Medicago truncatula: one gene and its partner. The protein of the gene in region 1 binds, or shares a complex with, the protein of each later gene. Links are inferred from orthologs where the notes say so. Each region holds a gene or a part of one and is shown in the gene's direction. Other genes may lie near its edges.

The links.
Region 2: potassium channel AKT1 (region 1) and calcineurin B-like protein 3 share a complex: the UniProt entries of both Arabidopsis thaliana proteins name them as parts of the K(+)-channel calcium-sensing kinase/phosphatase complex. The link is inferred for Medicago truncatula from reciprocal best matches to the Arabidopsis thaliana genes KT1 and CBL2.

What each region holds. Positions count from the first base shown.
Region 1 is NC_053045.1:54,796,063-54,803,768, reverse strand, and holds the start of potassium channel AKT1, read left to right. Parts: upstream 1-4,689; 5' UTR 4,690-4,836; coding exon 4,837-5,000; intron 5,001-6,865; coding exon 6,866-7,231; intron 7,232-7,479; coding exon 7,480-7,537; intron 7,538-7,632; coding exon 7,633-7,706. UniProt on the Arabidopsis thaliana protein: Highly selective inward-rectifying potassium channel that mediate potassium uptake by plant roots in response to low K(+) conditions, by a calcium-, CBL-, and CIPK-dependent pathway. Positively regulated by phosphorylation by CIPK23.
Region 2 is NC_053046.1:43,347,250-43,354,655, forward strand, and holds the start of calcineurin B-like protein 3, read left to right. Parts: upstream 1-4,384; 5' UTR 4,385-4,582; intron 4,583-5,428; 5' UTR 5,429-5,476; intron 5,477-5,560; 5' UTR 5,561-5,597; coding exon 5,598-5,721; intron 5,722-5,975; coding exon 5,976-6,058; intron 6,059-6,304; coding exon 6,305-6,364; intron 6,365-6,974; coding exon 6,975-7,083; intron 7,084-7,203; coding exon 7,204-7,256; intron 7,257-7,339; coding exon 7,340-7,406. UniProt on the Arabidopsis thaliana protein: Acts as a calcium sensor. CBL proteins interact with CIPK serine-threonine protein kinases. Binding of a CBL protein to the regulatory NAF domain of a CIPK protein lead to the activation of the kinase in a calcium-dependent manner.

The sequences.
Region 1 (7,706 bases):
GCAACCTATTGTTCGCTTAAGCGAACAAGTTCCAAAGAGCAACCAGTCTGTTCGCTTACAAGCACACCTTCAGTTCGCTCATGAGAAAAGTTCAGTTCGTTTAAGCGACCTATTGTTCGCTTAAGCGAACAAGTTCCAGAGAGCTCCAAAATGGTTCGCTTCCTGTACGCTTACAGTTCGCTTGAGCCAAGTTCATCAAATTTCAGAAGATAAGGACCACGTGGCAACTCCTCAATGGACAATGGAAGATTCCCTAGATGTTCGCTTAAGCGAATGTTGCTTTGCTTAAGCGAACGAGCACAAATATGGCCCATATAAATAGTTTTCTCTTCTCTTTCCAACTATTCTTTTACATTTTCTTTGATATTTTTCTGGTTTTTAGAGAGAGACTAGGGCTTTTCTAGAGATAGAAACACAAAGCAAGGTAGTTAGGAGTAGATTCAAGCCAAGATTTGTTGAGACATCATGAATCTTGTCATTGAATCTTCATTTCTTCCTCATCCTTTGCAAAGCTATCATAGACATATGTAGTTATATCTACTCTTGTGGTTTTGAGGTATTCAAACAAGCTATTATGTAATCTTTTGATAATTTAATATATGGTTCTAGCTATTTATTCAATATTGTTGTTATTCTTGCTTTTATTGTTTTATTGAGATTTGAAATGATATGGACACATACTTTTAAATCTAGAAATAGAATAACAATCTATCTTAAGTTATCCCTCTAAACATTGATGTTAATATTTGATAATCACTTTTAATCTAGAACTTAATGCTTTTAGGTCAATTAATCGGTTGGGAAATCATCGATTAAACGATCCAATCAACTTTGTGATCGTTTAAATGTTTGGAAAATCGATGTTTAAACGATCCCTTAGAAATAACGATATCATTTGGACACGAATGATATTGTCGAGTGATTGTGATAATATCGTTTAAAAAGCTAGAATCCGTTAATCGATCGAGAGATTGTAGCTGTTACGCTTGATTGATGTCTCTGAGCGCAAGCGAAATAGTCCTATCTCTTCTCGTTTTACTTTTATGTCGAATAGGAAAATAGTTTTACACAACCAAACAATTTATACTCAAACACTTAATGTGATAAACATTATGAAAATACTTATGAAATACGCAACTCCTTACAAAAACGATCCTATTATACTCACATGTAAATAGTTTATCACATGTAAAAATCTTACATCACAAATACAAAGGTACTTTGTTCACCTCTATATAGATATCGCGAACTCTAACATTCCAATTTTCTAGAAGTAAGTTTTGAATCTTCCTAATCAAGCTCCTACCACCAACGCTTCCAACATCCTCCCTCCCCCCACTAAGACGACTCCTTACCATTCCTAATAGGTCCATATGTAGCTCCACGTAAAAATAAAATAAAAAAATCTCTAGCCCACACTAAGCACTCGTCATGCAATATTTTTTGCAAATCCTTCCGGCTATTTCCCATCCACATCCCTTATCACTCCACAACAATCATTGATCATATTCAATTTCTACGAAAGCACCATCGTTGTTGATGTATGTATGTCCAATCTATTTTCTCTCTAGTAATTGATAACAATGACTTGCAATTTCTACAAGACAGCTCATGCACTCGTCTTAGACCTCATGTAAATATTTACATGCTGCAGAGTTTTACAAGAGAGACAAACATATCTTCAAAACCAGGATCGAATTTGCTTTATGCCTCCATAAATAGATATGGTGGCAAGTGTTATCCTAATCAACTCTCTGCTCAACTTCTCCTTTAAAAAATACATTAATATTCAAATTATTGAAAACCCGCTCTTTAAACTGACTTACCTATAAATCCAACCTCCATTGAATAAGCACCAAGTGGTTCCAAACAAAGCTAGCCAAAGAACAATCATGAAACACATGTAAAACGTTCTCCTCAACTCCGACACAATTATCAAAATAAGTGGTATTTAAAACTCGGATCAAAATAAGTGGTTCAGAATCAAATTAATTTGAATATTAATGTAAAATATTGACCCATCATGACCTACGAAAATAAAACTTTAAATTTAAAATTAATTTAGTTCTTTTATTCCACACTGACTTTATTATTCTTATCAAGAGAGAGAATTTTAGGATCACATCAACCATGGTTGTAATAATCAGAATTTTTTAGTCTAAATAGAAATATACAAATCAAAATCATCTTCCTCTATAAAAAAAAAAAAAAAAAATCATATCTTCCTACTCTTGTTCTAATAATGTAAGGGCAAATGAATCACAATAATTACTAACATTCGAAAGTATTTCAGAAACTCTTTTATGGTTTTTAAATTAAAAAATTATTCTTAATGAAAATAAAATACTTTAATTTTCAATACACCGACAACACTAATCTTTATAATAACATACCATTTAATACACTTACCCTAGAAAAGAAAACCATTTAATACACTTAAATAGTGATATGATTACACTCATTAGCGTCTTCATTTATATATAATTTTGGCTAAAAAAGTCTAGACATAAATGGAGTACAGATTATCAATTCAATATTTTTTTTTATAAGTAGTGACCTAAAGTTTACTATGGCTCTGGATTTGGATTCTCTCCATAGACTTCACTCATTCAATATATATTTTTGACCAAATATGAATATATATTTTTTTAAGGGTTGAATTATCTTATATGTTAATCTTGAGTTTGATTTACTATTTATAAACAAATTAGATGTTTGATTTATTTTTTATAAACGAATTAGATAATGCAGCCCTCGAACAGGGTATATGATGAAATGGTGGATAAAACTTTATAAAAAAAACAAAAAAAAAAAAAATTGAAGGAAAAACTTTATAAAAAATTGTAATTATTGCCTTCGACCTTAAGACCTCGTCTCGAGTTTGATGTGTGTAGCAATTTATAATATTTTAAATTTAAATAATTAATGGCACCGTTGACTCATGAATCCCAATAAATAAAAAGCTGCACGAACGACCTAAGAGATGCCACTATTTTTTAAAATAAATAAGGACTCTATTTGAATAAGAATACGGTATAATTTTTTCTCAAATTTTTCAAAAAGAATTGAATGGATTTAGTTCTCTAATTTTTAAAAGAAACAAATTTCTCGGTCTATGAATAATGAGAGATAGAAATAAATTACACTTTTAGTTTCTTAACTTAATTTCAGGTAACAGTTTCGTCCTTTATCTTTTTTTCATTTCAATTTGATCCTTTTTGTCCATTTTCGTATACATTTTCAAGCTTCAAATCTAATATTCTTATGCAAACATAGACGAGGATCATAGATTTGAAGACTGAAAGACCATAAGAAAATAAAATCAAACTTAATTATTATTATCTTTTTTTTAGGGAATTATCGTTCTTTGTCTAAAGAGAATAATTATTTTCTAAGGACCCGTGAATTTAATAACATTGTTAATGCATGCAATGACGAATTCGAACTTCAGTCACTACACTTATATGTTAAAGGTGAATTTCTAACCACTAAATGATTTGAAAAAATAATCCATAAAAATATAGATATGTGGATTCCCTGAGACCATCCTAGTATGCAAACCGGAAAGACTGTTAGATTTTGAGAGAAAGCGAAAAAAAATTCTCTAGGAGCGTACAAGATCCAAGTCCAAGAATAAAGGAGATATCAAATGATTTAAATCATTAAAAATAATATTTTTTTTAGGGGAAATTCTTTTTTCTGGTTACAATGCTAAAGAAAAAAGAAAAAAAATAGAAAATAAACAATTACAAACTACTCTTCAGGAATGAAAGTCCCAACTGCATTCATCTTTAGGGAATATAAGAGACCATTCAAAGGGGTGGCATGGTGAACCAAATCATGATATGAGGAGGCTCCAAACTTGACCAAAAAATTTGTGCATTGATTTCCCATCCTGAGAGTGTGACAAACAATAGTATTACTTTGTTCCATCAAATACTTCACGTCTTGAACCAACACGGCATAAACATGAAACCTGGGAGTTGGGCCTTTGAGGAGGTTAACACAAAAACGAGCTCTTCAATCCCCAATTTTATTTGCCAACAAGAGACCATGATAAATAACATATATTTGAACGTTCCGAAGGTGTACTGTTACTCTTGCTCAATAAATTTATAAATTAACGATCATTTTATGAAATAAAAAGTTAAAAAAGAGTAAATTTGATTTTGTTGAAGCTTTTGGTAAATAAGATATAATTATTATAAGGGAAATGCTAACTGGTGCCCCCGAGGCACTGGTTAAGGATATGAAAAATTAAAGAAAATTATACAGTAGTTAATGCATTGAAATTGTGTAATTAATTTATAATAAAGTCAAAAGCAGTTTCCTTTTATGGTATGCTTAACCAGTGCTCTGGGGGCACCGGTTAGCAGAACCTTTATTATAATTGTCAATGATAGAAAATAATTTTTTTCTTCAAAAGAAAACTCAATTAATTAATAGTTTTACAATTTGGTGTACCGGTACACTCAAATTTTTGAGTGTACCATTGAATTTGCCAATTTTTAAATATTTATTCAACATTGTTTTTAAATAATCAATTTATTATTACATATTTATATCATTATCTTTATTTCATTTTCCCCTTAAAAAAAGTTCTCTAATTCTTTTTTCTGTTAAGGTGTCTTTGAAATATTTCCAAATGCATTAATTGACTACTTTATGTTTCTATATAAAGACATTAGAAACTGTGTATGCCATACCATCACTCTCACACGCAGACATAAATATAGATTCAATTCAAGAACCGCCTAAACATGTCTATCAAAACCGTGTACTAACAACTACTGGAAAAAAAGATTCATACAAGGAACAAGTTACTAGAACATAAAAATGGTGCTTCCAATGACTATGTGTGGCCAAGAAGAACTTGAATTATCAAGAGATGGTAGTCACTATAGTCTCACAACCGGAATATTACCTTCTCTTGGTGCCAGAAGCAACCGGAGAGTTAAACTCAGACCCCTCATTATATCTCCCTATGATCGCCGTTACCGGTAATTCCTTCTCCGTTTATTCTTCTTTCAACGTTCTTGATAATCTTATTTGAAACGTGTCAGACAGTAAATATATGATTAACCAATTCTTGGTTGGAGGTGCCAACGCTTGTTGACTGTTCTCTTCTTTCTTAAGATTTCACTTTGTTTTTAAGAAACACAATAAATGATATTAACGTTTATAATTAGTCTTTATTAGTCTTGATTAGTCTTCAAATTTTCCAGTATTTCACATTATTTTTTTTATTTTTTTTCCTTTCTTGTGACAGAGTTGAAAGACATGACATTGATTTTTCTGTTGCTTTGTTTCTGACGGAAAATTGTTAGCTGTTAATGTTTCACTTCTTTCATTTTCTGTTTGTATTTGATGTTATTATTTTATTGAATTTTTTCTTCTTGGTCCTCTCTTTTATTCTATTTTTTGAAACCATTCAAGAAATTCCATCTTCACGGATTTCTCACATAGAAGGTTGTTTTATAAATAAATTAACAATATTTTTCTTTATTTTTACTATTTATTAATTACTCTCATTTGTATTCTCATGTTTGTATTCTTCGAAAATACATGCTCATATTTGTTTGTTTTGTTACCCTTTTGAAACATAAACCAACAATTTCTCTTCTTAATGATCCCCGCCGTATACTAAAACAGAAAAGAAATCTGTTTATCTTTCGTTTTCTTATACTAATCTTTTTAATTAACAATTTTATCACTCAATTTTCTCGAAATGTTCTTATTTTGAGATCTATCCAACTCATTTAAAAATTCGGTTTGTTTTGTTCTGTTTAATTTGGTTTTTTTTACTCTTCAAAGGAACATCCAAAAAGTTTACACGTGTTTTTAGTGATCCTATAAAGTTTGACTTTGTTTTCCTTGTATGGGAAACAACCAAGAAGTTGGTGGTGTTTTAATGATGGCTATGAGTTTGTAACGAAAGAAATTTGATGTTGGATTCTCAACTGAAATTCCTAAATTACCCGTTTTGTTCTTGCCTTTGTAACTGCTACTCTGTTTCGTGTAAAGAGTCATTTTCTATGTTTCTCTTATTATGTTCTCTCATGTCAATTTGTTAAAGTGCGGTTTGTGAGTGATTTGTCAACTGTGACTCTCATTGACTATAAGAATTTTTAAAATAATGACAACTTATGCACCTAATGATTTAAGGAGGTTTTAGATGAAAATATGATTTTTAAATGAGTAGTGATATTTTGACAACCATTTTGGTACAACCTTTGATACAACTTTGTTTTTTCATTGGTCAAAAACAATGGAGAGAGAAAAATGTAGAGATAGAATAAAAACATAATGTGAGTATGAGAGAGAAAGTTGTACAAAATGGTTGTACAAATATCATTTCTCTTTTTAAATTCACTTGTATGATTGCTTTTAATTCAACGTAATCAATTAGCAAAGTTTTTTAAAACTCCCCGTCCCAACAGCGGGGGCCCCATTTGGGGTCTCGCTGGCGGGAAGTTTTCCCCCACACGAATTGGATGGGGGAGAAAGTCCCACTAGGTGATTTGGGAAAATATTTATTGTTGTCGCAAAACTCGCAATAATGTCTTAATTTTAAATTTTTTATGATTAAAATTTAAATATTTTTTCTACCAATTTAATTGAATATTATATAAATTTGATTATTTTTAAATATTGATCATGGGGCGGAGACGGAGATTTAGGAGGAGAATACTCCCCAAGGCGGGGAATGGAGTTGATGAGCATTTTGGATGGCGGGAGTACTCCCGCCAGCACCCGTCTCATTGACATCCCTACTTCTCATCTTATTGAACATAAATAACTGCTGCATTTGAAATTTAGAGTTTTCTAAGACTATTAAGTAATTAAAACTTTTTGGCTTTTGCAGGATATGGGAAACTTTCCTTGTTACATTGGTTGTGTATACTGCATGGGTATCTCCATTTGAATTTGGATTCCTTAAGAAACCACAAAAACCCCTTTCTGTTACTGATAATATTGTCAATGGATTCTTTGCTATAGATATAGTTCTCACTTTCTTTGTGGCTTATATAGACAAAACTACCTATTTGTTCGTAGATAACCCGAAACAGATTGCTTGGAAATATGCAAAAACTTGGTTTGTACTTGATCTTATTTCCATCATTCCTTCTGAGCTTGTTGCACATATATCACCTGCTCCTATGCAAACCTATGGCCTATTCAACATGCTTAGGCTTTGGCGTCTTCGTAGAGTTAGCGCTATGTTTTCTCGGTAAGATTGAAACTTGATAGCTTTGGTGCATATGTTTGGATGAGCGATGAGATTGATAAAAAGCAGTGAGCCAGTCACAAATTTTCCACAAAAGCTACACTTTGTAGCTTTGCAAAATCACGGTGGCTCACTAGATTTTTCAATCTCGTTGCTCATCTTAACATGCATTTACTCCCATAAAATCATGTATATATTTTGTTTCCTTTTTGTGTAGTTTATGACCGTAAATGTTGTTTCTTTGATCCTAGGCTTGAGAAGGACAGAAACTATAACTATTTTTGGGTTCGGTGTGCAAAGCTTATTTGTGTAAGTTTTTGAATATATTGTGTTTGTAACCTTTTAAGAAGGAAGATAAATTAGATGTAAATGAGATGGACTAATAATCTGAATGATTTTCATAGGTTACTCTATTTGCTGTGCACTGTGCTGGATGCTTTTATTATCTTCTTGCCGCGCGTTATCATGATCCAGAAAA
Region 2 (7,406 bases), on another chromosome or scaffold:
TTGACTATGATATTTAGACAAGACCAATTGAATTGCTAAAGATAGAAAAATACTAAGTATCAAGTAATTATAAAGGTATTGTAATTTATCTCATAAATAGAGCTTGGAAGATCAAATACTCTAGCATACCTTTTCTATTCTTATCTGTTCAAGGAGTTTACTTTTGTGACAGACAAGAATCTTGTGCTTGCAATCTTTCCAATCTAATTTAGAATAAATCATGTGAAAAATGAAAAGCCTAAGATGGAAGTATTACCAACTTTTTCTTTTGAAAAGTTAGTGCCAACAAAAGAAACATTAATACTTGGCACCAAATTGGGATTAAAAAATAAATTGTGAAACCTGTTTGTGTGTTACAAGTTAAATTAGAGAACAAGTTATATTTATAGTTGTGCAATTGTGTTAGAACAGCGAACACACGATATTTGATCATGCACGGACCACACGTGTGACATATCCATGTATAATTAAACTACGAGTCAAACCCAACAAATTGTTTCTAGGGTGAAATTTGAAAATTAATGTTAATTTGGACTATACGATGTCAGTGTATACAGGATGTCACACTTGATGAACAAATGCAGGACATCACTGGAGTTTTTCTTTGCCATATGGTTTGTGATGGGAAATGTTTGGGTTTTCGACTCGCGATTTGGTTCATTTCAACAAGCTCCAAAACTTCATGTCCTATGTATCACCTTGCTTACTTGGAATGCAATCTGCTACTCTTTCCCTTTCCTACTTTTTCTACTGTTATGTTGTTGTGTGCCACTGATTAGTACCCTCCTTGGTTACAACATGAACATAGCCTCTTCTAATAAAGGAGCATCTGATGAACAAATTTCACAACTTCCAAGTTGGAGACATAAAGAACCTCATGCTACCAAGTTAGAACTTGGCAATGACTCTGAAAGCATTGAAAAATTCATCAATGAAGATCCGGTAAGTAACTAACTCACAATGTAAACAAGTTTTACACAAAATATTTGATCATATTTCATCCTATCATATCATAATATTTTCTACAAAATAACTATAGAATGAGGGATGCTACTAAAAAATTCAAATGAGACAAAAATAGAAACATTATTTTATTTCCTACAATTTGGGATCTATTGATTATTGAATTAAATAAGTTTGGCATGTTGTGATGTGGTTGACAGGAATGTTGCATTTGTTTAGCAAAGTACAAAGATAAAGAAGAAGTTAGACAATTACCATGTTCTCATGTGTTCCACCTAGAATGTGTGGACCAATGGCTAAAAATTATATCATGCTGCCCACTTTGCAAACAAGGATTAGAAAGATAGAAGAAGTAGCTGAGACAACAATCAATCATACTCACATGACTAAATTGATTTGGTCATATACTCATATATCTGTATACTCTTGATATTGTCAAGATTTTTTTTCTCATTTTAAATTTTGGTCTAGTATACTTAACATGGTTACTTGAGTGAGTTTGTATATGTACAGAATAGCTCACCAGTAACCAAAAATACCTACCTAACAAGTGCTTAACTTTTCAAATAATGCCTAAGCATTATTTTTTTCACTGTATTTGAATATTGTGGGATAAGATTTCTGTATTGGAAAAATGAAGTAAATATTATATTTGTAACCTCAATAATAAATTTTGTACTATTTGGTACTCTTTTGGTTTTTAATTTTGACCAATTATTTTCACATTACATTGCTCTGAGACATGTTTTACTTTAATTTGAATAAACTTATAAAAGTAGATTATCATTGTCATACTTCTTTTTTTGTGAAGCCATTGTCATATATACTTGTATAGTATAATGACAATGATGATAAAGTTAACAAGGTCGGTTTGGGCTTGTGCAAATTTTTATATAAATCTCATTTAGAATTTATTTATTTGCTAAAGTAAAACCAACATAGGGAGGGTTTAGCTTGTCAAGGGAAAATTTCTATAGGAATAGGGTTGGCCTGTCTAATTATAGATAATAATAAAAAAAAGGTCTAGTATTATAGTGATATTTTTGCATTAATTTTTGTTTATTTAAAAAAATACATTTAATGTTCAAATCTCATTTACATAATTAATTGGTGTGGCTCGGTTGGTTAAGCAACGCTGAGCTTGTGAAGAGGACTAAAATTCAACCTACATGTAACATGTATTTTAAAAAGTGGTAAAGATCTTCAATCCACAATCGAAGCATCCGAACAAAGATTAATCACATAGCTAATTTAAAAGACCGAAGATTGTGAGAATACTTACTTTGTCAAGCCAAGAGTGCCAAAGACCTTGATTAAAGTGGTTTCCTAAAAAAAAATCTCATTTATTTTTATTGAAAAACAAATTGGCTTGTATAGTTGTATGCCTAGATAGCCTCCCCTATTAGTCACTTTCCAACTCCTGGACTTTTGGTGCAATGACCTATCCATTATAATTATTAAGGTATCTTATTTAAAATTAAGCTACTCTAAAGAAGAAAAACTATATATCAGAAATGGTCCCCCAATCAGTTCACTAACAACTTTTATTTCTTTTGTTCATCATCAACTTCATACTGCATTGTAGGTCATAGGTTAGTTGGAAAATATTTGTTTCTTTTTGTATTTTTCCAATTTATATATTTATATATAAGGGCAAATATTACCTAACTTATTTATTTCTTATTTTTAAACTTCTCCAACAGAAGAAAACTTACAACATTCCTCCAAAAAAAAAAAAACTTGCAACAATTTAACCGAAAATATAATGAGAAAATAAATCCTAAAAGATCAAATCAAATATCATTTGTACCCAAAAAAAGATTAAATGTTATAAATTATGTGCTTAATAATTTTCTTATTTGTTTCCTCTCAGAAAAAATTGAATGTTTTATTAACATAATATATGAAATATCTTAACATCAAAAGGAAATAAAATACTGAATGAAATTTATAAAATTTTATAAGATGTACATGTTTAAAAAGAAAGAGAGAAAAGTACGTGCTTTTAAATAATGAGAACCAAATATCTGCTGTTATGTTGCATATGTTTTGTGTTGTTTCTTCTACTATATGTAATGCACCTGTTACTAGCATCGTCAAGATGCAAATATATATCATACATAACTCGAGAACGTTTGGATCAGATTATTCGAGTCTTTTTTAATTTAATTAAATGTCATAAAATCGAATTCAAATGAAAGAACATGAAGCATTAAAACTCTTAAACCTCTTGAAGAAGAGTTTTGTTGTAGATGTGATTCTATCAAGATCAATTATTGAGTGTGGATGATAATAAACAAACAAGAAGGCTTACACAATGAAAATTGTTAGACCCTTCATACAAGTTGTAGCTTCTGATTAACTATTTTTATACGTAAAATTTAATTGTATCATAACTCTTGATCAACACTTTTAAACAAAGTGAGTAATAATTTTGCTCATTCTCGTCAAATAGTCGAGTGTGAGTTATCTCATGCATGTGTATTTTTAATGTGAGTTAACTCAAATAAATGTATTTTTCAACGTGAGTTAACAATGGAAATGAGCAAAAATAGATGAGAGAAAAGCAATCTCTAAATTCTACTAACAAATTTCTAGAAAAATATGATATGCCCAGGCCCACGCCCACGTAGACTTCGACATGCATTTGCCCCTTATTATATGGTAACTAAATCATAATTATAACACATTTTAATTTCTTTACACCTTTTGAACACACACATTTTAACTTCTTTTCACCTTTTGAATACTCCCCCATCCGATAATAACTGAGTTTTTCATTCATTTCATACATATTAAAAAAAGTGTATAAGTGAAAGAGAAAAAAATGAGTTTTGAGTGTGTTCTTAAGTATTGGTCATTTTCCATTATCATAAATGCAAAGTAAAATATGTTGAATTGAGAAAGATGAAAGTAATATTAATTAGAGTTATGATTGAAAAAAGCAATAAATATGGCATTGAAAAGTGAAATGAGTCAATTTTTGTAGGACTTTTTTTTTTTACAAATGACACAGTTATTTTTTAAAATTTAATGCTATGTTATTATTTTATTTGACTATCCCGTGAACTTAGCTCAGTTTGTAGGGATATTGCATATTATATACAAGGTCGGGGTTCGAACCCCGAACACTCCACAATAAATTGTATGAATTTTAGCCACTAGGGTAATTGACCAAAAAAAATATTATTTGACCAAAAAAATATTTAAATTTTTTTTTTTGACAAAATATTTTAAATTTATTATTTTTCAGTAAAACATTAAATCCAGTCAAAAGAAAAATTAAATTATATAGTATATAATATACAAAAAAAAAAAAAAAAAAAAAAAAAACTGAAAAATGAAACAAAATTTGTAGAGAATATTTGTCAAAAATAACAATAAATTCATAATGATATGATATGTTATATGTGTCAGCATTGATTTCATTCCAAGTTGCATAGTACTCCATCTGTCATCACATCATCATTCATCATCATCTTCGTTCTTCACACACTCTCGATTCGATTCGATTCGATTTCATTCGCCTGCAACCACCGTCACAACAACCCTTCTTCACCACTATTTCCCTAAGCTTTTCTAAAAATCTCTTTTTTCTCACTGATCCTTTAACTTCAAGGTAAGTTTTTTCACCATACCCACTTTTTATTTTCCTCAAAAATCTTATAATTGAGCATGATTATCGTTAATTCTGATCTGGGGTTGTTGAATTTTGCTTAAATGTCATGTCTTTTTTGTTTCTTCGTGTTTATTTATGTCTGTTTTGGATAGATCGATGAATTTTCTATGCATGTGGATTGGTGTGTGAATTGGGTTGAATTCAGAATCTAACAACCTTGAATGTTTTCAAATTTTGAATCTTTTGAATATTGGGGTATTGAATTCATTATCTTTGAATGGTTTTAACGCGATTCTGAGATGTTTTCTAGGTGATGCTGAATGTTTGATCATGGATCTTAGGTGCTAGAGAGAGATTGAATTGTTTGTTGTGGTTATATGAATAATTAGGTATCAATTTTTTAGTGAATTGGTTAAACTACTTCACTACAACGAGTAATTAAGTGAGGTTATTTGTTTGTTGTATTAAGGTTTTGTTATGAATTTGGCCAAACTTAGGAATCATTGATGGGAATAACGCGATACATAATTTGTTGTGTTTGATTTTTGAGTGCTTTTAGTTTGATGTAATATGTTTGGAATTACAGTAAGTTTGACAAAATCATAGTGGCACTGTGATTTTGTGGAAGCTCCATGGTGTAGTTTTTGATTGATTTAACCACGAATTTAAACATGCAGTAAGTAAATTGCAGTTAAGTTCTGATGCTGGTTAGAGCATGGCATTTGTTCATTTGTATTTCCGTTTTGATTATTTTACGTTCTTTGTTTCTTTAGTAGACTGTGATTGATATTTTACTTCAGTTCTATAATTAGACTCTTTTGTTGATGGTGCCTTCAAATTTTGCAGATCTTAGCATTTGGGAGTTGGCCAACTGAAATTGGAAATGGTTAAAAGGTTTAGTTGCTAACCGCCTGCTAAAGATGACTTTATGAGGAATTAACTAAATTATATATCTAATTGATTTGTTTTCTGGAACAGTTATGGAGGATTTTGATTTTGAGGTACAAGAGATATCATGTTGCAGTGCATAGAGGGAATTAAGCATTTGTTTGCTCCTCTATTGCAATGTTGTGACATTGACTTATATAAGCAGACAACAGGACTTGAAGATCCTGAAATTCTTGCGAGGGAGACAGTGTGTATGCATCGACCTAACTTTATGAATATAATGTGGTTATTGTTACTTTTGCTCTTATAAAAATGAATTCTGATTTGAATATGTGCTTCTTATATCTTGTATATTATGTCATTACCTTTTGATTTTGAAAGCATGTGGATGATATTATTGTGCTCTCTTTTTTTAGTTGTGGATTCAATTACCTCATACTACTATTTGAAATAAATACACATAGATAGAGATGATGGTAGATATTTGTTTTGCTTGTGTATGCAGTTAGTGTAAGTGAAATTGAAGCTCTTTATGAGCTCTTTAAAAAGATCAGCAGTGCGGTGATTGATGATGGGCTGATCAACAAGGTTTGTCTGCTTCGTCTCTGACAACTTGTGGTTTGTCGTTTGTGGATATAATAAATTTTCTTGATTAAACCTTTTCAATGCAAAACAACATGTATAATCATTCTATACCAATAAATTATATTTTCTGACAACCTATGTTATTAATTTCTTCAATCAGAGAGGATATAACATTATAAAATATGACATGATATATTCAGTTTTCACTTTTTTCCTACAATATTAATTATTAATATGCATCATTTGCAGGAAGAGTTTCAATTGGCATTATTCAAGACAAATAAAAAAGAGAGTTTATTTGCCGATCGGGTATGGTATTTCTGTCTTTTCTATTGATCATTGTTTGACTTTTCTCTGAACTATGAAATTTTGTTTTAGGCCAAGGCCATCAAATACAACAATAACGAAGTCTTATCTCAACCTAATATGACATACAAAATAAACTTTGTCTTCATCTAATTCTAAACAACTGAAATTTTGATTCCCGTCTTCTTTGTATTACCACAAAGTTAAACTGAAATGAGTTTTTTTATTACCTCAAAGCTAAACCGAAATGAGGTTTTTAACATCGATGTCTTCATATGACAATTTTTTTTTGGGGGGAATCATACGACATTTAAAATAACTTCTTCGTACATGTTATTCTTAATGTTTCACCACGTAGGTTACCTCTCTTGTTTTCATGATCACTCACTCCTGTGAAACTTTATATTGAATTATTTAAATTATTTACCTTTGATTACAAGTTTTCCCACACGTTCCCTTTTTTGTTTCAACATTTAAAAAAATGCACTTTCCATACCATATTAATTACCATTGTAAATGCTATTCCTTCTTACTTGCAACATGTGCATGTACTGGTTCATATCGTATATTGCTTCAAATTGTTAATATCTCATATGAGCTTATTTCTGGGTAGGTATTTGATTTGTTTGATACAAAGCACAATGGGATACTTGGTTTCGAAGAGTTTGCCCGCGCCCTCTCTGTTTTCCATCCAAATGCCCCTATTGATGAAAAGATTGAGTGTATGTTACTTCAATTCTTTGGTTTACTTCACCTTACTTCTTTTCAGTTTACCAAAATTAAAACTATATAATACTTCTTTTCAATTTACCAAAACTAAACCATATAATATCTTGTTTCAGTTTCCTTTCAACTGTATGATCTCAAGCAGCAGGGTTTTATTGAAAGACAAGAGGTGATTAGCCTTCTTTAAATCTTATTTTGCTTAAGCTTTTTCTTCTTGTTTGGGACAAACCTTCGATTTTTTTTTATGTAAAGGTGAAACAAATGGTAGTTGCTACGCTTGCTGAATCTGGCATGAATCTATCAGACGATGTTATAGAGA